4 linked regions of the Alligator mississippiensis genome follow. The protein of the gene in region 2 purifies or fractionates together with the protein of the main gene of each other region. This does not show direct contact. Links are inferred from orthologs where the notes say so. Each region holds a gene or a part of one and is shown on either strand. Other genes may lie near its edges. The genes, in order: PARD6B, PARD3, PRKCI and RASSF8.

Evidence for each region.
Region 1: the proteins of PARD3 (region 2) and PARD6B purify together in Homo sapiens (affinity purification with mass spectrometry; 5 studies listed by BioGRID and IntAct, counting the BioPlex papers as one, with this or other methods). This does not show direct contact. The link is inferred for Alligator mississippiensis from reciprocal best matches to the Homo sapiens genes PARD3 and PARD6B.
Region 3: the proteins of PARD3 (region 2) and PRKCI purify together in Homo sapiens (affinity purification with western blotting; 5 studies listed by BioGRID and IntAct, with this or other methods). This does not show direct contact. The link is inferred for Alligator mississippiensis from reciprocal best matches to the Homo sapiens genes PARD3 and PRKCI.
Region 4: the proteins of PARD3 (region 2) and RASSF8 purify together in Homo sapiens (affinity purification with mass spectrometry; 4 studies listed by BioGRID and IntAct, counting the BioPlex papers as one, with this or other methods). This does not show direct contact. The link is inferred for Alligator mississippiensis from reciprocal best matches to the Homo sapiens genes PARD3 and RASSF8.

What each region holds. Positions count from the first base shown.
Region 1 is NC_081832.1:12,816,325-12,823,363, forward strand, and holds the start of PARD6B (partitioning defective 6 homolog beta), read right to left. Parts: upstream 3,015-7,039; 5' UTR 2,885-3,014; coding exon 2,819-2,884; intron 1-2,818. UniProt on the Homo sapiens protein: Adapter protein involved in asymmetrical cell division and cell polarization processes. Probably involved in formation of epithelial tight junctions.
Region 2 is NC_081828.1:194,860,398-194,867,592, forward strand, and holds the start of PARD3 (partitioning defective 3 homolog), read right to left. Parts: upstream 3,020-7,195; 5' UTR 2,819-3,019; coding exon 2,699-2,818; intron 1-2,698. UniProt on the Homo sapiens protein: Adapter protein involved in asymmetrical cell division and cell polarization processes. Seems to play a central role in the formation of epithelial tight junctions. Targets the phosphatase PTEN to cell junctions.
Region 3 is NC_081830.1:74,797,619-74,804,744, reverse strand, and holds the start of PRKCI (protein kinase C iota type), read right to left. Parts: upstream 3,004-7,126; 5' UTR 2,986-3,003; coding exon 2,864-2,985; intron 1-2,863.
Region 4 is NC_081827.1:128,470,851-128,478,755, reverse strand, and holds the start of RASSF8 (ras association domain-containing protein 8), read right to left. Parts: upstream 3,020-7,905; 5' UTR 2,930-3,019; intron 1-2,929.

The sequences.
Region 1 (7,039 bases), on a different chromosome or scaffold from region 2:
CTCAAAACATCATATTATTTTTGCAGTTGAACATAAAAATTACTTTCCTTTACTCTTATTAGATAAGCTGCACTACAACAAAATGGAAGAGAAAAGCTCCAAGGAAGGCAAGGTTGTTTAAGAAGATGGGTATTCAAAGAAGAAAAAATGCTTAAAAAGGTGGGCTGCAGAAGAGAAAGGGGTTACCTGCTAATTGAGAACTAAAGCACTTCATAAAACATGAACAGCAGAGCATCCCCATTTTACAAGGGGAAAAGCACAGTACACTTCCCACCTATATGCTAGATGCATTGCTGACTATTTCCTTTTTAGATTAGAACTACACTAAATTACACTCTTTTGAGAAATGTTAGTCACATGCTTTACTACAGAAAGACTAATGCTGACTACTCTTGCCCTGCAGCATCCCAATGCTATCTTTATGTGATAACTTGCTGCAGCAGTAATCCAATGAGCTACAAACAGCCACACCATATTTTATGAGAACACTGAAACTAGTTCAGCACCATATTAGATGGGAGGGCAGGAGTGGGGAGAGGAACCTCACAGTACAGGTTTCCCTTGCTTTATGCTGTACATGTGTTCCTGGAAAACGGCACATAACTCAAATTCACGTAAAGGGAACCCACTTTACAATGCAATAAATAGGGATATGTTCCAAAACCTCAACTGTACTGACCATTTCTACCACTTTTACAAGACAATTTTGGTACTCGCCAACAGCAGGCAGTACACACAAGTACATGGCACTACCATAATGGGGATGACAACTACAGAAATAAGTGTTGCAGACAATGAGCAAAGAGCACAGATCCACACAGTAGACTACATTTTGGTGCATGTCACTCCCACAACGCGCTGCGCAAAGCAGCATAAGAGTGAACAGACCTCACATATAACAAATTTTTGGTATAAAAAGGGTCATCCCATAAGAGAAAATTTGCACATACAGAACCCATATAAAGCAAGGAAACCTGTATGCTGGTTTGTTGCCCACTACCATACACAAAGATAAAAGTCTCTACAACTGATACTGTAATCACTTTGCATTTCAAAAGAATGAGATTTGATGTGCCCAGTGAAACAAGTACAACTGCAAATATTCTTTGGTTCTAAAAAGTTCTTCATCCTTCTGAAAATATCCATTCTATAGCATCTCACTTGAACTGTACTGCCAGCAAGTGCATGCTGTGGTCTGAAACAGGCTTCTGCTCACATACATACATTAGTTGTGATTTTGGTTAAGTTCTCCAGTGTAAATTAGGACACAGCAAAACTGTTCATTAGAGGATCTCTCTGTTTCCAGCAAAGGAATACAAACATTCCTGCAAAAATGTGCTTAAGCAAGACGCTTTGCTTCTTTACATCCCTTGCAACAGAGACAAGCAGATCCAGTGACAGACCCTGACACCCACTGACATATGGATCTGTACAGAGCTTAAGATGTTCTCATCACTCACTAGCAACTTACGCCTCTTCCAAAACACCAAAAGGGCATGCATATAACATCTTTGATAACATTCAGTTTTGTTCTCATTCAAACAGGACATCTGTATCTGGGAACTGGTGGCCTGAAACACCAAGCTGATTCATACACATTAGGGCTGATGAAAGAGGGGTTTTTATTTTTAGACAAAACAAAACAAAAAAAGGTGCATCTCCAATTACATTAAATGAAAATATAGAAGTGGAAAAAGGTTATGAGCAACTATATCTATAGACATGCTTAAAATAGCACTTTTCATTTTAATCACCCAAGAGCTGTTACACCAATGGACTCTTATCTACACAGGTTTTCTGAAACTGTCACGTTATTAGTACAACCTATGACAGAAGCTGCTGATACCTTTACTATCTACACCGCCACGTCACGGAGCCTTCAAATATATCTATGCCCTGATCACAGTTAACATCAGGAAAGATGGAAGCGGTAAAAATAGGCAGGGCGCAGATTGTTACAAACTAAACAGCACGCTGGTAAAAATGCCTATACCAAGCCTGCATTGCAGCTTCCACAAATGAAAGAAAACAAGTTCCCGAGTGCAGGCACACTCGCATTTGCTGAGAGGGGGGGGGAAAAAAGTGCTTTTTAGATCAAGTTACCCAATTGTATTTGGCTAATATGGCTTGACACACCCTTTCATAACACAGATAAACACCTTTACAATGCTGAGTTCCAACACCGTCAGCGAGCAAGATATTAGGCGGGACTGAATCTTGGTCGATGCCTGAAAAATGCTGTTCAAATATATCTGTTGCTTAGGGGCACGGGAAAGCAACAAAATCAACCCGTTCCTCAGACCAACATCGCTATCGATGCCAGGAAAAGAGAAGAAAAAAGAAATCGAGCATGCGAACGCAGCCCTGCACCGTGACTTATTCAGCTGCGGCTCTACCTGCAGGGGGAGGTCTGCCGGCACGGCAACCGCTCCCCTCGTCCATGTCGCCCCCAGCGTAAGGGGTATTTTTTATCATTGTCTCTCTCCTCCCCCACTTTTTTCCTTGGGACCTGGTCAGGGTTCCTGCCTCAGGCAAGGGCTCGGACTAGAGGTCCCCTCCCGCCCCCAGACTCCCTTATTCCCCGACAGAGGAGAGGAAAGCAGGGCAGGGCAGGGCAGGGCAGGGCAGGGCGCGCTCCCCCCCCCGGCCGCCGCCGCCGCCGCCGCCCCCCGACCTGCGGCCGCTAATCTCCGCTCATCTCCCACGTCAGAGCCGCAGCTCGGGGCGACACGGAGCGGAGCCCTCGCGCGGACAACCGCCGCCGGGCCGGGCCGCGAGTGACCCCGGGCCCGGCAGGTGAGTCAGCAGCGGGACCCACCTTGCTCTTCACCTCCATGGTGCCGAGGCCGCGGCTGCCCCCGACGCCGCGCTGGGCCCGGTTCATGCCGCAGGCGGTCGGAGCCTCCTCCTGGGAGGGGAGGGGGGACGCGGTCAGCCCGTCCTCCGGCCCGGCCGCCCCTCTGCGCGGGGAGGAGCCACCCGCGGGCCTGGCACCTGCCGCGCCGAGGGGGGAGGGGCGGAGCGCTCCGCGCATGCGCAACGGGCCGGCGGTTCGGCGCACCTGCGGCGGCCGCGCATGCGCACCCGCTGCCCGGCGGAGGAGGGGGCGGGAAACGCGGCTCGGCGCACCTGCACCTGCTGGGCCACGTTCCAACATGGCCGGCGCATGCGCGGTGGGTGCTGCGGGGGCGGGAATATGGTGTGGGGTTGTGTGGGCCCAATGCACTCAAGTCTCTAGGCTGAAAGGGGCGCAGGGCAGGCAGGGTATGTCTCATGTGCGTCTGACAAGGGACTATGGCCAAGGGATTAGGAGCCAGGACAGGCTTCCCCACAGCCAAGTCAGGCAGGGTGGGGAGCCAGTTCTTGTCACGCCTCTACATTAGGGTGGCCATCATAGAGGACGTTCCGTTTTTCTGCTACTCTGTTGATACGAAACCCGATGCCTTTATGCCCTCTATTTTTCATCATAGAGGACGTAAAGGAGTCCGGTTTTGTATCGACAGGACAACCGGACTGTCCTCTATGATGGCTGCCCCACCCTACATGCACCAGGCAGGGTTCTTTGAGTAGATGTGATGTTCATAGATTGGAAGGGGCTGGAAGGGACCTTACAGATCATTGGGTCCAGCCCCCTCCCCTACTCTAGGCAGGAAGACAAATGTGGTGAAGTGACCCCAGCGTGGTGACGGTCTAATAAAAGATATTAGACCAACTTAGCAGTTGGCAAGAACACCTACATGCACCTGCCTCCCACAGGCCAACCCGCTGCTCCCAGGCACCTGCGGGAGCAGAGGGGGAGACAGCCCGCCCCACCTGCCAGGCATCTCATGGACCGGCAAACTGCAAATGCCTGTGCACAGGGCTGCACCTGTTCAGTTCAAATCAAATGACATTTGAGCATTGATCTGAGCAGTAGCCATGTCAATCTGAGCACAAAAGGCAGGTGAAGTCTTTGGGTAGAGGCGATATCTTTTATTAGACCAACTAAATAGTTGCAAAAATGTTATTTGCAAGCTTTTTGGCAACTGCTTAGTTGGTCTAATAGAAGATATCACCTCTACCCAAAGACTTTGCCTGCCATCTCAGCACTGAGACCCCAGTCGGGACAGTGCTTCTGCTGGCAGGCTTTTAAAATTCATTCTAGTTGTAGAGGTGTTACTGTTTCTCACTAAATTTCTCATTTTTAGTACATGGACTGTCACTGGATTTGGCAATATTTATCACCCTGAGTGAACTTTCAAAGCATACTCGTGTATTGGTTGAACTCAGATATACACGGCTAGTCTACTCTTAAAATTTGTGTTTGCCACTAGAATCATCTAGCAAATCCCCCTAGTGGAGACACTTTATAGAATAGAGCTTTTTCAAAAATTAATTAACTAAGCTATACAAAAGGATTTTTTTCCTTTAGAAAAGGAGGGGAAAAAAGGTCACATCTATAATTAGTATAGTTCCGCAGGTGAAACTTTTAAATCGTACACCAGATTTTAAATTTAAACATCTATTTTGCATGGCATCATATCAACTTCCAAATCTGTGTGCCACGGTCTGGTGTGATTGCTTAATGTGTGGACTCCGTCTGCCCTGTCTGGGCTTTTGTAAAGATTGCAGCTTTCAAATAAGTGCTGTGTCATTTGTCGGACACCACATTCACGCAGGGGGCATCCAGAATGCTTATCTTGTAAAGTGTTGTTTTGAACCATCTGTATCCAGATCAGGCTGTTCACCTTGCCCCACAATTCTCTGTCAAGGTCGTGCCCAATAGGGGACGTACTTGGTGTTGGTATAAACTGCTGTAGGAATAGGTGTGATCTTTCGCAGTGGTCATCCCATTCCGTTACTGCCTATAGGTTAGGTTCAGCATCCCCAATCTCTTCAGGGAGCTTATGGGCTTCATGTGTAAACAGTTAATGATTTAAACATAAACTAAGCTAAATCCAATAGAAGAGTATCCACACACAGAATTACACCATTTTAACAAAATAACTTTAAAATCACATTTTAAGGTAAACTGGTGCCATGTAGTGTGTAAAGCAGGCCAAAGGCCAACTGTGAGGCAGAGAAATTGTACCTCTCACCCAAACAAGACAAGACCTGATTAGTGCAGAGGGTATAGTTCAGTGTTAAAATGTTTTGTTATAGATCAATAGATGCTTAGTTCAAGTCTACACATCCCTGCTTCTATTTGATAAAGAAAATAGTGAAGTGACATATTTGATCTTATCCATACCTAACACTGGATTCTCCTGTAACACGGACATACTTGGAAATCAGTGGAATTATAGCCATGTCAGCAAAGATGAACTAATTAATTTGTCATTTCACAGTCGCCAAAACTGAGAGAAAGAAGTGGCTTCTCTCTGTCTCTATCCAGTTCTGCTCTTGTTTATAAGTGACCAGCTTTGCTGTCCTGGGCACTTGGAAGATGCAGAGGCCAGTGGAGGAGACAAAAGAGGCGCACAGCTTTTTCAAGGGTTAGCATTGCAATTGACTTACCTTTATTCTGAGGTGGAAACCCCTCCAGGAAGTTCTGTGCACTTAAAACTGTAAAGAAGCTGATGTTATCATTACAGATTTATTAGGTTTCCTCTAAGAATGCGTCTCACATTCCTAGAGTTGTTGAAGTGCCATACAACTGGGTGTGGCCTCGTGCTTGCAAGAGTCAGAGCAAATTCATCTCGAGTCACTGGAACCAACCTAATAAAAAGTATTAATCACTAGCTATCTTGCATTACAGTGAGCTGATATTGCGTAAGAAAGGAATGTGATGAACAATTTGGTTTCAGATAAAGGTAAGGGGAGGGGAAGCTGCCTGTGCCAGGCATAGTGCAGAACTGCAGGGCTATTTTAGTTCCAAGTTCGATAAACATGTGATTAAGAGTTAAGCTATTCACTGCCCCTCAAAGAAAATAATGTTCTGTGTCCATCAGCCTGTTCAGAACTCAAAGGGGAGCTGGGTATTTTTGTTTAAGGTTTCTTAATTATTTTGTGGTAATTGACAGCCTCCCACCCTCATTGCATCATTAAGAGCAGAACCCCCACACAGCTTGTATTCCCTATGACAAGTCTTTTTTCCATCTGATTCATTCCTGTTTTTTTTAATGGAGTGGTATTCCATCTATCTTGCCCAGTACCCGAAAGGTTTCCTCAGGGGATAAAATTCAGACTGAAGGAGAAAGCAGAAGGTTTGCATTAATATTTAATTCATTCTTATTTTTAAATTTGGCTCAAACTCCCAGGACTACCGTACGAAAAATAAGCAAAAGGATCTGTAACTCCATAGTTGTTTGGACGCTTCCAAGAGAAGGGGGAAACCTGGGTTCTGGTCCCTGCTGTTAACAATGTCTTCTATCTAGTAGTGCTTTAATGCAAAATACATAAGTAGGCCCTGGAACAAGGATGAGAACCCAGGTGTCCCACCCCACCTTTCTTCCCTCATTCAAAACAGTGCCTTTGTCACTGAGCTAGGGAGTCATGCTAGCTTTTACTCATTCTCTCTGGCTCTGTGAATCTTGCAGTTCTTATAGCTTCATCAGGAGTCATGTGAGTTTCCCTTTCCCAGATGATTTTATAAACCATTAGTATAGAGCACTCTTCTAGGAGGAAGATATATAGGGTTCTGACCCCCCCTCAAGCTGAGGAGGGCCTAGAACCAATGTCTTCCATTTCCAGAGTAAGCGCTCTAGCTACTTGGCTGTTATATAAGTGGTGGGTGCTAGCACCACCACTTGATTTTGAATGGAAGTGGCTGTAGATGGTAAATCTATGCATGGATTAGGTAAATCTTGGATTGACCATGTAGATATTAATGGAAGTTCTGTCCACTTTTGGTAAGTGAAGAAAAATATCAGTGATAGTTTAATGGAAAAGAGAAAGATGGTTGTAGGAATGTGATAACAGATTGTCATGCTTTCTTTCCATGAAAAAGGATCTGAAGTTTGCAAAACTTTACAGCATTTAACACTCATAATAAGAATCAGTACTTTAGCTTCCTTCATACTGGTGTTTCCCTTTTATAAACATGCAGTCATTTTCCAAT
Region 2 (7,195 bases):
ACACAAATCACGACCAAAATATATTTAAATAAAATATGTAATGTGGATCTTTGATTTTTAGTATATAATTTGGGGTTTTTTCCCAGTTCCAAGATGGCAAACTCGCTTCCCAAAAGGAGTACTTCCAGGAGCCAAGGGGAAGGACAGGTCATAGGTTACAGGGTGGGGCTCCACAGCTCACCAAAACTCGTTAAACGGCCCTCCAGCCAAAATAATTATCCACCCTTGCTTTAGGCACACATGCTCTAAGCAATCCCCTTGAAGGGACTGCTCCCAGTATAGAGCAGTGGGTGCACAAGTTTTGCAGGACTGGGACCAGTGTTTTCAAGTGGTAAGGCCAATTAAAATATTTTCAAAAAATGTCCACTAGATTTCTGATGTCCTGCAAGAGGTGTGTGCTTTCCAAAGGTTAAGCAACTTCAAATGAAGTCAATTTGAAAACACCCCCTCCTACATATTTTCCTCCTCAATTACATATTTGATTAAAATAAAAGGTTAAAAAAGAAAAAAAAAATTAAGCTTCATACAACTGCAGCGTTCCAGTACAAGTGGACCCTCTAATTTCCACCCTAAGGGTGGAGTCCTACCATAAAGATCTGACATTACCACACCAACTATTTCCATATTAATCTGTTTCCTGAACAACAGTCCTGGTGTTCATTACATTTGGGGAGTTCTTCGTGTTTACTTACTGAGACACTTGTGTGAATCCCTACATTACCCAAGCACTTCAATGCAAGATCTTCAACTAACAACATCAAAACTCTGTTTTACATTAACAGCATAAAAGCAAGGGGCATGTGGTGTCCATTTTGGTGTTTTAACCAGACAGTATTTCCAAATAACAGAAACCATCTCATTGCAAGTAGGGTCACCTCAAGCCCACATGACTGAAGTACAGCTTAATCCCGGACAATACATAAATAAATGAAACAGAAGGTCTTTCAAAACCAGGATCAAGGGCTTCAGGGGCTGGAAGCCACCAAGACTATAACCACACAAATAGCCTTGGCGGTGCATCTGTCAATATATCACATTTCAGAGGTTCTTAAGTTTTTTTCCCCATACGGTAGACAGTTTTGGTCAAAGATAACTTGTCCTCATTTGCAATCATACAGAAATCAGAATATCTTCCTTCACATAACCTCCCTGTGTTAACTATTGTAACGGTTACATTCCTGAAATTATATTTCAGTGCATTTGTTGCCATATTTTAATGAATTTTAGCAGCTGGAAACAAGAATGAGATTCAGCCCGATGTGAGAAGAAAGATAGTTACAGGCTACAGGTTGGAAACCCAAGATGTTTAATACAAGCAACGTTATTAATGCAACATTAATACTAAAAAACTTGGGGACCATTTCGGAGAACATATGGCACCCGTTAAATTAATAGCATTCAGTCCAGGAGTCGGGGTTTACCAGATTGGGGCTCTTAACTATAAGAAAGCTTGGGAAGCAGTCTTTTATTTGCATGTGAAATGCCACGCACAACAAGGATGGTATATAAATGATAGCAGCTGGTATATAGCAGCTGCCATACTTTAGTTAATCATTGTACTTTTTCGCTAGTCAGTGCTGTAACTGTGTGTTACACACCAGAAAGATTTTAAAAGATACACTAAGTAGTCATGATTTTTCCCTCCAAAACCATCTTCTTGAGGAAAATTCATCAAAAGGTAGAAACTTAATTGCCTTCGTCCCCCATCCTGACCACGTCTTGGGGGGGAGCGGGGAGGGCTGTGGGCACATCCTGTCCAACCCACCGGCCTAATCCCCGTGTACTTTCAACTCCAGCTTGGCGCAGTTGGAGAAACTCCTGATGTAAACATCTGTAAAGCGAAACCCTGCCATCAAGTATGTGTGTGTTTTGGGGGGGGGGGGGGGGCGGATTTCAGAGAGGTTGGAAAAAACCAAAGAGAGTAATTCATGCCCAAACATCTGAGCCGAGTACTTGGAAGAGACACTGGACAACATTTCATTAAATAACCAGCCGCGGGGGGCTCCGACTGGAGAAAGGCAGGCAAGCTTTTGAGGGCACAGCCGTCTCCGCCCGGCCGGGGCGGGAAGCAGCCGGGGGCAGCGGGGGTGCGGAGGAGACCTTCCCACGGGCAGCACCCGAGCCCCGCCGAGCCCGCCTCCCGCCCGGGGCCGCTGCCAGCGGCGGCAACCCGACCGGGCCGGGCGGGGCCGAGCGGGGCCCGGCGCACGACGGGGGTGGCGGTGGGGGTGCGGGCCGCCCCTGCCCCTGCCCCTGCCCTGCCCTACCCTGCGGCCGCGCGTGGCCGGGGCCGGGCTCGGGGCAGCGGACGGCGCCGGCCGGACACAGGCTCCTCCCTGCGCTGGAAACTTTTTTTTTTCCGGGGGAAGCCTTGGCTGACAGGACCCCCCCGGCCGGCCCGGCCCGGCACGGCCCTTTTGTTCTCCGCGAGTTACTTTCTTTCCTTTTTTCTCTGCAGCTGCAGAGAGCCGCTGCCCCGGGGCCAGGGCCTGGCTCCTGGCGCCGCCCGCGGCGGGACCGCCACTCCGGCCAGCGCTCGGCTCGGCTCGGCTCGGCCCGGCTCCCCCCGGGCGCGCCCGCGGCGGCGGCCCCGGACAAAGCGCGGCCCCGGCCGGGCTCCGCTCCCGCTTCCCGGGAAGCGCCATGTTGCTCCCGACGCCGCTCCCGCTCCCGCTCCCCCGGCCCCGGCCCCGCGCACCTTGGCGATCGCCTTGCGGTAGCGGGTCACCGCCTGCTGCACCAGGTCCAGCACCTTCATGTTGCCGTCGCCGCAGGGCACCACCACCCGCGTGCGCCCGAAGCACACGGTCACTTTCATCCTGCCCGGCGCCGCGACCCCGGGCGCGCCCAGGCCCCGCTCACATGCTCGGCCGCCGCCTCCGGCCACCTGTTCCGCGGCCGCGCGCGGCTCGGGCGCTCGCTCCGGCGGGGGCCGGCAGCAGCGGCGGCAGCAGCAGCGGCGGGACGGGGCCGGGGCGGCGCTGTCTCCCCGCGATGGCCGCGCTGGGCATTGCGGCTCCCGCCCCTGCCGCGGGGAAGGGCCGGCTGCGGCTGCACCTATGACACGCGCCCGGGGCGGGGACTGCGCGGGAGGCGGCGGCGGCTCCTTTCCCCCGCTCCGAGGGGAGGAGGAGCAGGCGGGACCCTTCCCTTGAAGGCTGCGGCAAAGCCAAATCCGGATCCACGGCAGCGAGGGGGCAGCCCCCCGCCCGGCTGCGACACGGGCGCTTGTTCCCCGGCGCAGCCTGGCAGGGCAGGGCAGGGCAGGGCAGGGCAGAGCCCGGCTGCCCGGGGAAGCTCCGAGCAGCGACCCACTGGATCAAGGGTGGCCGACCTGCGCTCTTCAGAAGTGAATATGCCTCTCCTTGAGTCTGCACCAGCTTGGCGGCTGTGCTTGGAAGGAGCTGGCCCCTGTGTGCTCGTGCAAAGATTCAAGGAGACACGTGTTCATGTCTGAAGAGCCATAGGTTGGCCACCCCTGCAGCCAGTGGGGACGCGTAGCGGGTGCATGAGGGTGCACGTGCACCCCTGAGAGTGCTGTGCGCCCCCTGACAGGCCGCGCTCCCCGCTTAGGCGAGGGGCAGGTAGGAGCCCTGGCCAGGGAGTGGGAGCGCCGCGTGAAGTGCTGCAGCCACCTCCAGGAGCACCACGGCCGCTTCCCAGTTGGTACAACTGGGGGACCCTGCTATGCCCTGGTTGGCAAGACTGGCCACAGGGGGACTCTTGCTGGTCGCTGACTGATCGCTGGAGGGTAGCAGTCACCCATGCCCACAGTACATTATAATGAGCTGTGAAGTCAAGTGGCTCCCTCAGCACTGACCAGAAATGCTGCTGCCAGTGACCAGGCCTGGACAGAGGCATGGGCGAACTGGGCAGCTGCCCAGGGCCTGAAAATGGTCATTTTTTAATTATTATTATCATTATCTCTGATGAAGTGGGGCCCAATACTAACAGGTTGCCTGAGGCCACCAAGAGTCTAGGTACCATGCTGCCAGTGATGGCTGTTGGTTTTAAACTTTGGATGAAGCAGTAATCGCAGTACACCCCCAATCCCCTCCCCATCTCCTTCTGCTTACCAACCCTCAGCAGGACACTGCCAGGCAGGGCAGTGATCGACAAGCCATGGTAGAGATCATGGAGGGATGGCTCACGCAGAGGGTCACTCAGAAGATGCACTCTGGCATAGACAGATCCAGGATTTTGAAATGGGTGCACATGGTGTGGCACAATCACACAGAATACAGATTTTTCTCCAGTTAAGAGACAAACAAGATGCTTTCCTAATATGCTAGGAGCTAGCCCTATATTAGGCAGTTTAAAAACAAGGCAGAAACAAATATAACAGCAAAATCAAAGCAAAAACAAATAAATAAAATGTGCACTAATTAGCTAGATTATATATGAAATTTAAAAAATTAAAGAAGCTAGGCAAAAAACAGTCAAGACCTATTCTGTCATTAGGCCTGTAATCATTACAGTTAAGTGTATGTCTCTTATGCAGGCTCATAAAACAAAATCTAACCTTCTTGAGGATCTTGGTGGTGCCTCCAATCACTGCGAGTCATTTCTACACCTGAGTTAAAGTCTTTAGCTAGAGCTAAAAACCACCTGCAAGGCTGTGAAATAGAAGAAAGACATCAAGAGGAATGGCTAACAGCAAAATTGCAGAAGAGAGGATGGTTTGAATAGTGGAAGGCCAACACAGTTAAAAAGGATAGAGGGTTCTTAACATCTGTGGAGTGGAGAGAGATTAGCAGGAATCAGGGAAATTACAGTGAACCATGAAGTCAACTGACTTTCAGCACAGCCTGAATAGAAATACCACTGCCCTTCCCAGGCAGTTGGGTTTTAAGGTTGTGTAGAGTAGGAATCTACGGGGGGAAGGGTGGGGGGTAAAACTGCACCACTGCACCTCCTCTGGATCCCCCCTGCACTCTGGTCCTGAGAGGAGCACCTATTCTGCTGACCCTGGCCTTCCATTATATTTACAAGGTGTTTCTGCTGCAGCCTTTCCCAGGCTCGCTCCATGGTGTCTCCTGGAAGCAGAGGCATGCAGGACAGTTCTGCTCAGTGGCAGCAACATTTCTCTCCAGACTGCCCCTGCCACCAGGTGAGAGTGAGCATACGCCTTCATTCTCAAGAAGCACATTCCAAGCCACCAAAAGCTGCAGCAAAAATGGTGCATCGGCCTGCAAAAATGTTTCCTGTGCTGTGCCTGACTTGTTCTGCTCAGAACTCTCAAAGAACATCTTGCATTCAAAAGCTTGTCTAGCTCTATCCCAACCATACAGTTGCTCAAATAAAACATACCATTCTAGGAAATCCTTGCCGCTTCCATAAAGTAATGCAGACTGGTCTGCTGCAGCTATTTCTCAGCTTGCCTCCAACATACCTCCAGAAAATAGAGGCATGTGAAAACAGAGGCATATTAATTATTTAAAATGAACATTGGTATAATCAATTGCTTTTGCTTTGGGGGAAATAAACCAGATTAATTTGTCATTAAAATGTTGCTGTACTATGTGTATGACCCAATAGATCACAATGACTTCAAATCTCTTTATATCTTTTGTAAGATAAACTATTCTAGTTAGATATTCTGTAAGTAGGCACTGATTATATAGAAACTGTAAGCTAAAAATATTGTATCTTGATGTTTTAGGTACTATAATGTATATCAGGTATTAGTCACTTCCAACAAACTAAGTTTTTGACCCATTTCTTTTCCTAATGTGAATAGCGCGTTAACAATTATCAATTAGCAGTCCTGCCAATTAAGGTTCTCAACTCACTAGACAAGTAAAGTCTGGACAGCAGCAATATGTTTCTCCATATTGCTCTGCCACCATGTCTTATTTATGATATTGGGATACTACACCTCTTGAAGATAAGAATCTGTCCTTTCACAGAATAACTAGTTACTGGCTTGTTTACTGTGATAGACAAAGATAATGCCAATTTAGGTTTTGTGGCCCACAGGTATCTTACCATTTACCTCAATGCACTTTGGACAAGCCATAAGATAAGGGTTGAAACAACCAACTTATTTCATACAGGCCACTAAACAAATCCAGTGTTCAGGTTCGTCCACTATCAAACAGCACTGAATTAGAACCAGTTGCATACATCTGAAATTATCCTTCTGTATGAAAGCATCTAGTAACTAAACCAGGAAACAAGCTCCTGGAAGTTCTCTTAGGAAATACCAACTGTTTGCTTTGTGTCCTTGGACTCCCTGTTGTTCAGCATCCTAATTTTTAAAATCATAATAAATGTATCACAGGAAAAAAATTGAGGCCTAGTTAGATCATGTTTTTTTGAATCAATGAATAAACATTTTTATTTTGTATTCATATAAACACACACATTATGATTACATAGCCAATTATTCTTTTTACTGCCATATTATATTTTACCATGTTATTTTCCTTGTTTTTTCACCACATTGATAATGTAGATGAAAGATAAAGATTTGTTGTGATTATCTTTTATTGGACCAACTGTATAGCTGAGAGAGCTGTTGGACAAACTTTCAGGCAGCAAGTTCCTTTCCTCAGGTCACTGACTGTATAAATAAAAAGATATCACAAGAAGTCCTTGCCTTGTACATTCACCAGGCCATCATGGCTACAACAACACTCCAAATCCTGATAATCTGTAGACTATTAAATATAAAACTGAAGTAAAACAGTGTGCAGCTCAAATATCTTGGATAATTTAAAGGGATGTATTTTTCTACCTACAGGGGCTTGTACCATCTTTAATTTTCCCTAAGTCTGGGGAAGGGCATGGGGGACCAAAAGCTTGCAAAGAAAGATAATTTTTTTGCAATTTCTTGGTCTAATAAAAGGTATCATCTCTGAAACAAGAGTTCTAGAGTTTTGCATTTCTTTCTAGACAATTTAAAGCGTTCCAAATGTGTAAGGTCATCATTTTTCATTCCATTTGCTATTTCAAAAATATTGAAGTGTTCCATTAACATGCTGCTATTGTACTTTCTAGGTGAACATCAGAGCTGCTGGGAAACAAGCTCGGAGCATTGAAAAGTGATAAGTCCTAGGTTTAATAGACATCATCTGAAAAACTTGCAGAAGCGGCTGTAAAGTGAAGTCAATAGAGCTATGAAGAGGCTTTGTCTTTAATAAGTAGTTCATAGATTCATAGATTCATAGATGTTAGGGTCGGAAGGGACCTC
Region 3 (7,126 bases), on a different chromosome or scaffold from region 2:
GGCCCAATCCTTGTTGTTGCAGCACAGCCCCCTTCCCCACCCTCTGCCCCAAGGCACGCATGCCAAGCAAAATGCCTGTGTGCACCATGCTCTGGCACCTGTGCCAGGGGTTTCCTACCCTGGTATAGTGCCTCAAACTGTTCATCAAACTCATATGCTCTTTGAATTTTTGTTGAATCTCTTATGAATGCTACAGCACCATCTGAGAACCTTTGCCACTCTTTAACAAATGATCTAGGCTCTAATAAATCAGGCTGAATATGGTTAAGGTTCCCAAAAGAGCCCTCAAGTCCTACTGCAATGAGATGACTGTTTTTGCTACCTAATTCTTCAGCAACTCCAAGAGTTAAAATTCACACACTTCACAGCTGATACTCTAGCAACAAAGCCCTTGAATAGATATCTTACAACTGAGCAAAAACAGATTTTCATGAAGTTTTGATTTCACTAAAATTAAATTTCAGAAGTTTTCCTATTTACAGAGTAAACCCAGACTTTATAAAATTCTTGTCAAAAGCCAAGAGTTATGAAGAGACTTGTTTCAGGCCTGTAGCAGGCAGGGCATTAACCTGCAATGTGGTAAGAACAAAGTTCAAGACTCTGGCCTACTTGATTCAGACAAGGGACTTGACTTCCCTGGCAAGAGACCTGGGTAGACTATTTATTGCTCTAAGGCTAGAAATAGATGGCACCAAATGGAACAGATGAGGAGTGCCAGGATGCGCCTGGCATAACTGATCCACCTCACTGGGCAAAACACAGATTGCCCATTGTCCCGCCATTGATCTTGTGGGACAATGGGCAATGTGTTCCCCACTAACAGAGATGTGCCCTGGAAATCTTTGGGGCACATCTCTAACAAGGGAAACCCTAGCTTTCTCAGCTTACAGAAACTTGCCCTGGAGACCACATCAGACAGAGCTACATACACCATTGTGGTCCTGGGGCTGGAACCACGAGTGAACTGATTGGCAGCCTCAGTCCCAAGACTACACTGGAGCAATTTCCGTACTCCAGTGTGGTCCAAGGCCCAGGCCCCGCCAATAAGCTGATTGTCCGTCTCAGGTCTGGGACCATACTAGAGTGTCAATGGATGTCTGGGAAATCCCAAACAGGGGAACCCAGGCAGGTGCTCCCAGGCCTTCGGGGCCTGATCCTGCTTGCCCCAGGAATGGGAATTCTCAGGGCACATGGGATTGAGACTCTGAAACCATGGGAGTGCCAGCCCAGGGCTGCTGGAAAGCATCAGCAGCTCTGAGCTGACCACACTCTCCCACCATAAACCTAAAAGACATCTGCTGTAATAAAGCATCACAAATTGATTATAGATTTCATAAACATTAGGGCTGGAAGGGACCTTGGAAGATCACTGGGTCCAGCCCCTGCCCAAGAGGCAGGAAGTCAGCTAGGGTCAAAGAATCCCAGTAAGATAAGTGTCCAAATGTTTCTTAAAAGTGTCTGGAGTAGGTGCCTACAGGTGCTATTCCAGGCTCTGGGAACACAGATGGTAAAGAAGTTTTTTGCCTGATGTCCAGCCTAAAATGGTCTTCCAGGAGTTTGTGACCACTGGACGTTGTCTTTCGTTCGGGTGCTCTGAACAGGGGTTCCCCCAGATCCTGATGCACACCCCTTGTATACTTATAGGCTGCTACCAAGTCACAAGTTATGACCACAAGTTTTAGGCATTTGACACAAGACAAGGGGGTATGGATGTTGGTTTGCTTCGCCTTTGTACCACCATAAAAATGTCCACCCCCTGGATTTGAGCAGAAATTCTATCCCTGTGCCAAGAAACCTTCCCTGGTGAAGGTCCATCAGAACATGTACATATACATACGCAGGCATGTACATACACACTTATGTCAGCTCCAACAACTTTTTTCTGAAGAGAAAAAATTATAATTTCAAAACAGTTTCCCTAGCCAAATTCCTTGAGCAAAAGCACTGTCTCCATGCTAGCTAGGGGGCCAGAGAGTTTAAGGTCTTCAGTCCCCAAGTGTGAAGCCAGACATAAGTAAAATCGTATATTCTAGCAAGGTTTCTGATAGTTTAAGATGAGAGTCTGACAGGCTGAATGGAGCATGAGAGAATTTTTTGGAGTGCATAAAGTTAGAGGAAAATAGTGGGGGTGGGCAGGAAATGTATAAATGAGACCTTCATACAGCTCACGAGGAAGGCATTCCAGTTAGACAGCTTGTTTATAACCGGGATCATTAACGTGAGTCACAAAGGGAGTTGGTTAGTTTCAATCCTTTACTTGAACTGACAACTGCATTTACACCCAGGTGAACGGAGAGAGGCATCTCACACCGACCCGCACACAAGAAACACGTTGTTGTTCTTGTTAGCGATGAAATCTTAAATGGCTTTCAACTGCACACAATCTAAGTAATTTAACACCTCAAAATGCTCACGCAAACACCATTCAGATATTTCTTTATAAAAAATAAAAAAAAAAAGCCGGTCTACCAGAGATGCTACGGACGGAAGTGACAAGCAAAATATCACGCGTACAGCTCTATATAAACTGTCCCAATCATCGCGTGGCTTTTGGCCTTATCTTAACCGTGATTATTACATGGATTACTAAAGGGAAAGCAATGCAGGCTTAATGAAAGCACTGATGCATTTCCTCACGCTCTTAGTTCTTTATTTTTATTTGCTCATCTCTCTCCAAAGCCAAGTCTTGCCCTTGCTTAGATGGTAAGGGGGGGGGGGGTCTCTTCCCAAGCACTGTGCAAACCCCTGGAACAAAGGGCCAAGGCTCAGCGGGGGCCTGGAGGAGCCAGGGAGGGGCAGAAGGAAACGCCTCTCTTCCCAAAAATGCCGCCTGCCCCCGAACACGCGGCGCCGCCGCACTCACCCCTTGTAGTAGGCTTTGACGCGGACCTGGTGAGCGCTGTCGCCGCCGCCGCCGCCGCCGCCCAGCGACAAGTGGGACATGGTGGTACCGCCGCCGCCGCTGCCCTCCCGCTGCGTCGGCATCGCCGCGCGCCCGCCCGCCCGCCCGCCCGCCCCTGCCCTCCCGCCTCCCTCCCCGGCGGCGGCCGCTCCCGAGGGCCCGGCGCGAAGAGGCGGCGGCTACCCCCGCGCCCCGGAGCGCCTCTGCCCCGCCCCCTGCCCGCGGCCTGAACCAAGTGCTCACACCGCGGGGGGCGGGCCGCTTCGAAGGTGCTCGGGGTTAGGAGGATTCCCCCCCTCCTCAATCCACGGCAGTTGGTACAACCCAATGCCGGAGCCGTGAGGCATGATGGGACTTGTAGTCCGCCGCGCGTGCTGGACCGGTTGGGACTGAGGGGCGGGCAGTGCCGGTGCTCCTGAATCCCCGTGGATGCACGGGGACAGGGTTGCCAGGATTGCTCAGCATCGGGCCAGAGGGCAGGAAGTGAGCCAGTGATTCCCAGCCACGGCAACCCCAGCAGCCTGGAAATCCTTGCAAGGCTGCCCCCAATGTTAAGCGTGCACACGTGCTTCACCAGACAAACCCGCAGATGTCAAAGCGTTGTGACCTGTTGCGGTTTTTCCGAGTTCTTTGCAATTGTTCTAATTGTTCTAGTGTTGTTAGAATGGTTCTAATATCGTGTTAGAATTCTTCTAATATTTTTCTGGGTTGCTGGGGGTAGCTGTACTGGTCTAGGGACATGGGCAGGCAAGGTTCTTTGAGTAGATGTGATATCTTTTATTAGACCAACTGAGTAGTTGGGAAAAAAGTTCTTAGCAAGCTTTTGGGCGCAATCGCCCTTCTTCAGGCATAGGGAGTCTCTGCTGTTCCTATGCCTGAAGAAGGGCGATTGCGCCCAAAAGCTTGCTAAGAACTTTTTTCCAACTATTCAGTTGGTCTAATAAAAGATATCACATCTACTCTAATATCCTTTCTGCCATCAAAAATGGAGTGAAAACTAAAAGTTGTCATTGTTCATGGGGTGTCTCGAGTCCAAAAAGGCAAAGAACCACTGGACTAAGCTTACCCAGCTACAAAAACTTATACTAACAATGCCAAGGGTATTGCTGCTGCCGTGTAAGATTTTGTATTATACGAGCAGCAATGTGTTACAAAAAGCTGGATGTTCTCTATTTTTAATAGGAAATAGCTAAGTGTTGTTGAGAGTTTAATTATGGAGACCTCTAAGTGTGTGGGCGATTAGATAACTAGTCCTCTACAAGCTGATTATTATCGTTGGCCATCTCAGGACATTCCCACAAGACCTTGCACAGGCAGCATTTTTAGATTTTAAAATATACCTATCAGAGTACTCTGCTTGTGGCAAAGTGAGAACAGTCAGACTTCAAATTCTTCTGTTGGCTCCAATTAAACCAAGTACACGCCTCACAAAGCACTAGGTGATCCTGTTGACTTAAGTGCTTTGTTGGATTTAAGCCCAGTCCAGTTCCTGTTAACTTTAATGTCAGTTCCGCTTCCAATGCATGTGCTAAAACTGGCATCTAGAGCAGTCCATTTTCTCCTTCGAAATGTACTGTAAAGCTCCTTTTCTAGAACTGTGCTAAGAGTTACCACTGTGTTGAGTTTGTGATTGAGTCAGTTACTAAAACTGGCATGAGCTACAGTGTTCAATGCAGCAGCATTCAGGTGTAACAGGATGCAATTACAGAAATAAATTGCTCCAACAGTGTACTCAGATTTGTGAGTGAAACATCATTTGGTGAGGAACACTCTGAACTACTCCAAAAAAGTGAGCTGGTTGAGTGATCAACTGCATTATCTCTCCCCCTGCCACCATACACACCAATATGGCTTTTGGGTTGTATTTACTTCTGCAGGCAGTAAGTACAGGCAATCGATAACTTGCCAGAAGAAAACAGAAAGCTCTTTGTCAAATATTTGACACTCCACCTACTTAAACAGCTGTGGCAACAGGAGCAACAGGTTTATAGCTTATTGTTGGGAAAGGAAAACAAATCTAGAAATTTAGCTGCAAGATTGTCTAAATTCTACTTGATGACTTGCAACAAGCCAGACAGTCAATTCATTTGTTAAACACCTCAGAAAAAAATAAGGAATCCATGGACCTAACTTTCTAATAGCCAGTATTAAACAAGAGGTCTTGCATTTACCAAAGTTCCAGTAGTATGGCTACAATACTTAGAAGTCAGTCAAATGTGGTGGAATAGAAATCACAACTGGAAAACAGGCTGAAAGGCATGCACTCTTCAGGACAGATATAGAGACATAGGTGATGGAATAAGGCATGTCAATTAAGTGATTACTAAAAAGTGAGTGATTCTGCATACAAAAATCTGTTTCTGTCAAAATCACTTTGATAGTAGTAGTTTTTTCTGCAACAGGCTTAAGAATCTGACCCCTAGTGTCAGAATTTATGAAGATCATCCACTGAACTGGTGATAGAGGGTCAGTACCTGTGTGAACTTCCTCTACAAGGAGATTAGAAACAATATAGCAACTTTTCATTGGAGTTTACCTTAATTTGACCTTAATATAAATAAATACTTTCTTTCTCCTAGATATAACTGGTCTAGTGATTTTGTTTGATCATGCCCTTGTATCAGATGAGAAACCCTGACAAATCTTGTTTTTGTTGCATGTGTAATGTCATGTTTTCAGAAAATAACATATCCAGTCTTGCAGATAAATTCCACTATCACAGATTTTGGCCAACCGGATTCTGTTTTTTCTCGCCCCATTCGATTTTATAGTGCATTGGCTGCTTGTGATTGCCTTCTTTTTGTCATCATTTCTCCAAGGCAAATGCTGTTTAGACTCTGTATGTACCAGACATATGAAACAGAAGTTTGACAGCAAGGGTAAAAAAAGCAGTCCTTGTGGAGGTTTATTTTAACATTGGTGCTTCCAAAGCACGTGAATGCAAATTAAAATTGTCATAAATAATTTAAGTGATTCCAACTGGGTATTTCTTGTTTGCATTCAGGTACAGGCTGGTAAAAATAATAATATTTATTTTGTTCATTGGACACAGGTTTCTAATATGGACAAACACTAATAGTCCTAGTTTCAAAACACCATCTCGGGGCACTGGAGGTGAACTAGCTATTAGAAAATCTGAAAGTTCCTTGTAAGGCAATAACATGTCTCTCCATTTGGGCTCCCATTGTCCCTGATTACAAATCCCTGTCTTTAAAGAAAATTAGTCCTAAACCTTGTCTGATGATAAAATTGAACAAGCATTGACCTGACCAAAGGATATTATACCTTTTCACAATAGGAGATGGCTCACCCATGAAAAATGAGTCAGTACATTCAAAAGCTGTGGCTTTGTCATTGTTAACTGTGCAACCATCTGGAAAGCAGCAATTTATTTGAAAGTGTTCACCCTTGAGGCATGTTGTACATGCATAGTATGAACTGTACCTATCAGCCACTAAACAGTTATGGCAGAGGCTCTTTCTGCCCAGGGTAGTTGTCTGGAATGGGAGCTATATGACAGAACAATTTTTATAACCACTAACAGTTATTTCTAGGGATTCTTGTACAGGATACAATCTTATTGCAACATTTTTACATCCAAGTGGTAATAATATACCAGATCTTTTTACAGGTCAAGGATGTTGTTTCAGAAACCCTGGTTTCTCCTCGGAAAGCATATGATCCACCCCCCCAAGTGCTGCAGCTAAGTCATAGGCCTAGCATAGTTGTTCTTTTTAAGAACATTAGTATGGAAAACAGCTTTTGGCCCCTTCAAAAGCCATGGTCTTTGACTTCTACTGAGCTTCATGCTAAGTTTAGAGTCAATACAATGAAAGTCCAAGGCCTTTGCTCATTAGTTTACTTCTCTGAGCTATCCAGTCTACATGCAGCTTTCCTATCAGCCACCTATGGACAAGCATATTTCATAATGTTTGAATGTAAGCTTTGAAATCATTCTTCTAACCACATAGCCATAAATGTATTGACAAAGTCCAGAACACAGTCTTAACCCTTAAATTCTGCCAAGGTCTCCCTGCAATCTAGACAAGATGCAATTAGGTATATCCACATTAGTCTTTTGTCCACATCCAAAATCATAAAGAGACATGATTTTCCAATAATTTCAGGGCTCTAATGCTATTTTATATTATTTAGATCAACATGGATTTCAACACTGACCTTTATGTTTGCAGCTTTTGTCCCTGTAGAACTGAGGCATGCAGC
Region 4 (7,905 bases), on a different chromosome or scaffold from region 2:
TAGTGTATTTCTTAAAGCTTTGACTCCTGGAATCAAGAGATTGCAGAGGAAGGAGGGGGAGAGGAATTTCAGCTTTCTTAGAAGAAGAAAGGAGAAGTTACTAGCTTGAAAACATGACGCAAGCAGGTAATAACAACAACAACAACAACAAACACCTTAAATAAGGAGGCAAAGAAAAGTATACCCCTGCCCCTCCTCCCCACCAAAAAGGGGAAAGAAAACCCTCACAATTTCTAAGCCTCTCATGATTTTGGAAGTCTGGATTATAAGGCTTCGAATGCTTGAAGTAGGCAATGTTGTTTATAGTATCTACAAAGGAAAAACATTTGCTCAGGAATTTTGTGTATTAAGCTAGGGGAGTCTCAGTACTTTTTCCACACTTAACTAATAGGTCTCCTTTCTGCCAGGCACTAAACAGCCTATTCAGGAGTGGCTTGAGGTGCACACTATGGGGAAAACTTGCACTAATATCTGCACTGTGGATGAGCAGAAGGTCGGTTTCCATAACAGTATGCCAATGTTAAAATTCCCCATGTGCTCACACATATACTGCTGTCAGAGCACAACATTAACTGTGTACACAAGAGAGGTTTGTGCTTTCCCAACCGTACAAGAGCCAATATTAATATACGAATCCATAGGGCTACTTAACTAACATTCCTAAACAACCGTTAGGCAAAAAAACAGACTGATACATTTGCACCAAAGAATTTTCACCAAATGGTATTAAAAGTAGTTTAGAGTCATTACTGGAAAACTCAACATCCTGTGAGGGGGGCAGACGGTGAAGTTTAGGTAAAGGTCACATGCCATGGAATGGCAGCAAACAGGCACAGAAACTCAACTCCCTAGTCCTGCATTTCATTTAAAGCTAGATTTCATTCCCCTCTTAATACTACATCCCTTTTCAAAGCTTCCCTCAAGGAAGGATCAAAAATAAGCTGCTAGTCATCTCTGTCAGGTTGTTCATATTTCTGGACACAGCACCACCAGACTCCAAAAAGATGTACTAACTTGTTGCCAGAAGCATTTGCTGCCTTTCCATCTGTTTCTTATGATTCCATTCACAAATTTGTCTTTTGTCTCCAGAAAGCTTGACACAGAGAAAGACCCATCTTTTACCAATCTAAGCAACTAGGGGCAGCTTCTATAAGGATTTTTTTATTTGATGGGAAGGGCCGATTTAGAGGTTCTCATGTAGCTGTAGAAACCGTATTACACAGTTGTTTTATCCTGCTGGAGCATGTGTTTTTGAAAACTCCGTGGAGGAAAAATAGTCTTTTTCTGTTCACTTCCCCTTCCCCAAAGACAGCCTCATTTTGTCTTATATTAAAAATTATGCAGACACTACAAACAATATTGTCAATTAACTTATCTAACTTAAATGTATTTTAAAAAACACAATATAATCCACTGAGGAAAAAAAAGCACCCCCAACTCTTTACCTACCCATCTGCAGACCCGACCCCATGATATGAAGCGGCACCAAATTAATGTCCAATTTGATTACATTTCCCAAAGATATACATACAGTAGGGATAGCGCTGCATATACAAAATCAGTTGAAAATTTAAGAAAATAATCATCTTAATCCAGGTGTCTTTCCAGAAATCAAGGGGTAATTGATTTAGCAGTTCTCCACAGTCCAGTGCGTATTTAATTTTAACAAGCAATGCTGCTGAAAGATGATGCAGCCACTTGTAAAGCACAAGCCAGACTTCATAACCCACAATATATTTGGTCAGGTATTCAATTAGTTTCTAGTGACTTTTTTCTGATCATTATTATGCCAAGCTTTGCGATCTGTGCAAGACTCAAATGGAAGAGGAGACAGGTGCAATTCAGTAAGGCACAACAAAATGTGCACCATATTTCTCCTTTTTTACATAGGACACCAATCAAATCCACGAGCAATGCAGAGCTGCAATTTAATGTGAAGCTTTGTTGCTGTCTCCAAATGACATTTGATTGTGGAGAAAGATGGGTTGGCCCATATCAGAAGACTGACTTGGAAATTAAAAAAAAAAAAAAAAAGAAATCAAACCCATCTCGGTCTCCACAAAGTTTACAATGTACTCAATGCTGCATCGACCAATGACCGAAAAAAACCCACACCACCCGCCTGCCTAGCCTTAAAGCTGTTTTATGATCAAAATCAGACACCGTTCACTCAAGCATTCCTAGCAGCCAGTCCTAAAATCTGATCCATTTCCCCACAGGCAGGACGGATTTACTTTTAATCTTTTTCCTACTAGGAGGCGGGGAAATAAAAAAAAGATTAACCACAAAATAAATCCTGGCTGTCTGGAAGCAAGGGGCGGGGGGGGGGGGGGGGGAGGGGGGGGGAGCCAACACAAAAACACAATCCACTTTGGGAAGAAAAACTCATTTTGTTTTCATTCGGGTGACTGGGGGAAGGCAAGAGAGAGCCCAGAGAAGTTTAAAAAAAAAAGAAAAATAAAGAGCTACACATTCTCCTGATGGGTAAAAGTGGCTTCGAAACTGTCTTGCCAAGGGTGTGGAAAACACCCCTGACTTTTTAAGAGGGGAGCTGTATGGAGAGGGACAGAGATACCAAAAAAAAAAGGGGGGGGGGAATAAAAGAGGGGAGGAAAGGGAGCTGGGAAAGAAAGGAGAAGGAGAGGGGGGGTGAGCCGCCAGGAGGAAACAGGGTAGAAGAGGAAACTGAGGGTGGTGGAAAGGAAATAGAAAAAAAAGAGAGAGAGAAAGCAAGGGGTGAAAAATACCAGGAAGAAGAGAAAGTTGGAGGTGGGAAGAGAAGGGTGGGGGCTGTTAAAAACCGAAGAGAGGGGAAGTGGGGAAAGGAGCTGGGGGAGACGGAGAAGAGCCGAGGGGCGAAGGGGAGGAGAGGAGAGGAGAGGGCCGGCCGGGGGCCACGGGGGAGGGCACGTCCCGAGTCCACACTCACCGCGAGCGGCGGCTCCAGCACAGCGGGTCCTCAGCTTTGCCCACACGGCTCCCGACTGCCAGCTCCCCTCAGCTGTGCGCGGGGCACCTCGCCCCGCCCCGCCCCTTCCCGGCCCTGCCGCGGCCCGAGCTGCCTGGTAACGGGGCCGGGCGCCACGGCATTGTGGGAGCGTCTTAAAGCACCAGTGGCGGCCGCGCTGAGGGCAGGGGCCGCTTCGGGGGCAGAGTGCGTGTGAGTACGTGTGTGTGTGAGAGAGAGAGCACGCGCTTGTGCAGGGCGGACACGCACAGAGGCGCCCGGGGCATGGCGGCAGCGCGGCGACTGCTACAAGGGGCGCCTCAGCAGGACGCACCCGTGTGCGCGCGCGCGTGTACGTGTGCATGTACGTGTACTGCTGTGTGTGGGCGTGCGTGTGTGAATACACCGGAGTGTGTTTACGTGTGGGTGTGGAGAGACAGATGATAGATACATATAGGGGATATATACATGTTTTTGAAGAGGGGTGTAGATATGCACAAACACACACACAGTGGGGTGGAGAGTCCCAGCGTGGGTGTTCGTGTGTATATACACAACTCTATACACACGGACTAGATGACACGCGCGTGTGTGTGTGTGTGTATATATATATATATATATAGCCACTGGGGTTCTCCACCCCAATATATAGAGAGAGGATATATACATATAGAGCAGAGGTTCTGAAACTTTTTCTTATTGTGTACCTCCTTCCAGATTTATCAGCTGCCTTCATACTCCCACCAGCATACATTTTATATCTCAACCCCTTAAATGCCAATTATTAGTATAATATATATATACAGGGTCTTCATAAAATCCTTGTGCACTTTTAAACTTTAATAACTTAGGTTGTAGGTATGATAGAAATAATCTGTTAACGGCATTTAAAAGCAAATTTATTAAAGTTTTAGGACAACTAGAGTACACAATGGTAGACTTCATAAGTAATAATGAATTAGTTCTTATTTCAGATCCTTTGACAAACAAAAAATGGCTACTGTAGACGAGAAGGTAAACTGTCGTATGGGTAGCAGAATTGAAGTCCATATCAGCTGTGAGAAGAAAATGGTGGTTATGTTGAAGTCTAACATTGTGTATTCTAGTTGTCCTAAAACTTTAATAAATTTGCTTTTAAATGCCATTTATAGATTGTTTCTATTATACTTACAACCTAAGTTATTAAAGTGTAAAAGTGCATACAGACTTTATGAAGACCCTGTATAATATATATATGGGTGTGTGTGCGTATTTGTGTGTGTATGTACCCCCCTACCCCCCGGGGTTACATCATTTTCTCTAGGTGTAACCCTGATGATGTTATCTGCATTCTGTGCGTTCACCTTTGCATATCACTGGATGTAACCTTTGCACATGAGTGTATTTATGTATATACTGTACAAGCACATACTCTGTAAATATAAGTCCCAGTTTTTAAAGAAGGAGAGGGCTAACAGTAAGCTGGGAAATATTTTTCTGTGAGAAAAAGCAACAAAATATTTTTGTTATTTATTTTTGTAGAGAAATAGTTATAAGAATAATAAAAAGTCCAAACCCAGAAAAGCATTTTTTATTGGGTTTTTTTTGCATCCTTTTGTATTATTTTTAATACTTTAAACAATAGATTTTTTTTTCTTTAGAGGGTGTTCTGTGATTATTCCTGCTTGCATTTGAGTAATATTGCAAATTAATCCTTCTTTAGGCTCCATAACATAGTCTGTTCTCCCTGTGTGTTTGAGGCTCTAGTCCTTCAAATGACTTCATGCAAGCAGGGCATTGCACTTGCATGTATCCCCACTGAAGTCATCTGCAGAGTTTGCAGTTTAAGGAGCCTTATGGGACTACTCAGGTGTTTAAATTAAACACAGGCATATATGTTTGCAAGGTCAGAGTTTTCAGTTATAATCTCTTCCTCTTATGTCTCGTACAGCAATGAAGACCATTGTCGCAGGGTACTTAGGTGCCCTGCTCGTGAAGAGGGGAAACTGATGGGGAAAGAGCCCTAGCAGGGAACAAGGAGCCCAGCTGTGGGTTGCCAGGGCAACCAGGGGAGGTCAGCTGACTGAAAGGGGTAGGGCCTGGCTCCCTTATAAACCCTAGGAGCTAAGACCAGAGGTAGTCCCTGTCAGGAGCCCTGGAGGAAGGAGCTTTTTGCTGTGGAAGAGAGGAGATGCCTGCTGAAGGAGCAGCACATGACCTGGCTGTGGGATGAAGAACCCTGGTAGGCAAAGCATGATTATAGCCGGGTGGCTTCTGTTTAAGTTATAGCCGATGGGCTTGCATTTTGTGTTGCTGTTTATCACCGGTGGTTTGGGTGAGGCTATTAGGGTTTGGAGGAGACCTCATAGGGGACACACAGTAGTGTGGGAACCCCAGTGCCAGCAAGGGTGCAGCATTAGGGGTGCACAGACCCCAGCCCCAGAGAGGGGGCATTGCTGAGAAGCCCCAGTGTGGGCGTGGTCAGCCCTGGAGAAGGGGGTGGCATTGCAGAGAAGAGCCCCGAGAGGGGGCACAGAGAGAGAGAGAGAGAGAGAGAGATGGGGCTGTCAAGAGCCCGAGTGCCAGAAAGGGAGTGGAGACAGAAGGAGACTGAACAATGTCTATTCCAGCTGCGAGGCTTGGGGCGTGGTGAAAGGGGTGGTTGGAGCCATGCATAGCCCATAGGGCTAGGGTGCCCCGGAAGCACCCATTGTAGAACGGGACCCACAAGGGGTCTGGGAAACCACGGGGTCTGAGTCACCACTAAGAAGTGACCAAGAGGGCATAAGGCAGCCTCCCATACATTTAATCTCCATCAAAGACGTGGCGGGTGAGAATCTGAGGGTGCCCTTGGGCCAACTTGGCACAAGAAGGGGGCCTTGAGGAGATCACGGCCCTCCTGCAGGACCCCACCGTGACAACCATAAATAATAACAGAAATTCAGCAAGGATAAAAGTCCTAACAAACTATATATTTCTTGACAAAAAAGACCTTGCTTTTAGTCCCTTGTCTGACTTCCCTCCTTCCTCTGCCCATGAAAGGGAGAGATGCATTCACTTGACCAAGCAACCTGCTTGTGTGGACTGGTAAAGTTGTGCATGACTGGATAGGGGAAACGAACAATTTCTTATGCACCTCTGGATTCAAGGACTAATTTGCAGAAGCACTGAGCAGATGCATCTACCATGGACTCCCAGTGACAACTGGTTGATTGACGTACTTAATTTTTTTTTCTTTTAGCTGGGAAATGTCACACAACTGGTGTTATAAATCGTTGCTTTGGGAGGGAGGAGGCCTCCAAGAGTCCTTAGAATGAAAATGATCTTTGTGTTGACATCTCATCTATTCCTGTCCAGTTTTTCATCAACTGTTGTGTTGGTCAGTCATTTCTCCATATTAATATGATGGCTTCTGTTCCCAACATGAGTTTATGAATACAAACAGTACGAAATTGAAAGGTATACATATTATGAATAGGATTATATGAAGATTTATAGTTATGTCCTTATCTGGTGTATATTAGCATAGCTCCATTATAATGTTCCATTAAGTTTTACCTCTGGACCCTGTAACTAAATGCATTTATAACCCTTATGGTTGTATCCAAATGTGAACAGAATATAACTTGCCAAAGCATCACCAACTTGTAGGGTGACCAGCTTTACTATGCGTTGCTCGTGGCTTTGCCAAGCCACAACAGGGTGAAATTAGCAAATCTGGTTAGTTTCGCACCAGGGCACAAGGCTAGTCCCAGAGCAGTGGACTATAATATTTTTTTTTTTTTTATGTCAATTTCATCCTACTGCCATCAGTGATTTTGGGGGGGGGGGGGAAATAACCCAAAGACCAGCAAGTAGTCAATGGAGTTTTCACTGGAGGAAAAGGACTAGGATCCAGGCAACAGAGACTGATGGAAAGGTAAAGTGAAAATGCTTTGTTTTTCTAAGGAGCCAGAAGGCTCTGGACTTGGAGAAGAAACCAAATTCCAGAGGATTGGAAAGTATCTTATTAACAAAACATTTGCTAGTGTAGCAGGCTTGCCTTTCAGAGCTTGGGTTGAGTCCCAGGCTTGAAAACTTGCTGTTTTAATTGGTGGAGCCCATCTACCAATCAGGAGGCAGCAAAAGGAGTTAAGTCATTCCCCTTTCCTGAGAGAAGTGGGAGAGGAGCTGCTCCCCCCCCCCTCCCCCTCTCAGACCTGATTGAAGACTGCAACACTCAGGTCTGGAAGACTTCAGGGGCAGAGCCCTGGAGAGTATAAAAGGAGCTACATGCCCAGCATGAGGGGAAACGCATCTGGGACAGAGAAGATCAGGGCCTAGAAGAGCTGAGGAGAGCTGCTCAGCAGGGTGAAGCAGTAGCCCAGGAGCACCCCTGAAGATTTCCATCAGTGGGGAATGGCGGACGGCTCCAGCAGCTAGGCTTTCGGCGTGCAGCATGGCATCCAGACCCTGGGAGCTGCGTGAAGCGGCTTGGGTCTGCAACTTCTGGTGTGTGGCCAGAGTCATGGTGCACAGGCTGGTGCATGGAGTAGGACCTTTGGAGCGCTTGGGTGGCTCAGGTCCTCAACCCCCAGAATGAGGCTAGGAGCTCATTGCAGGAGGCGCTGAATGGAGGTAGCCCAGGCCTTTGACCCATAGCAAAAGGTCTAATCCAAGGAGCCAGACGGTGTTTGAGCTACTGAGCCACCAGATGGCACCAAGCCAGAGGCCCCAGAAGCCTTGCATAGAGAAGCCCTGTTCTAGGGGACAGCACCCCCTCCCCCCAAGCCCACTACAGGTGAGAGAGTAGCTTGGCACAGAGGATGAGGGCCACCCTCCAGGCCTGGGAGCCATGAGTTGCAGGGAAAAGATGATCCACTTTCAGGAGCCCTTAACTAACCAGCGAGGACTCCTCCTCCCCTGTGGGGGAAGTCCCACTGGGAGGAGCCCCCCTAAAGTTACCAGCTTCCTTGTAGGGCTTGGAAAAGCCCAAGGGC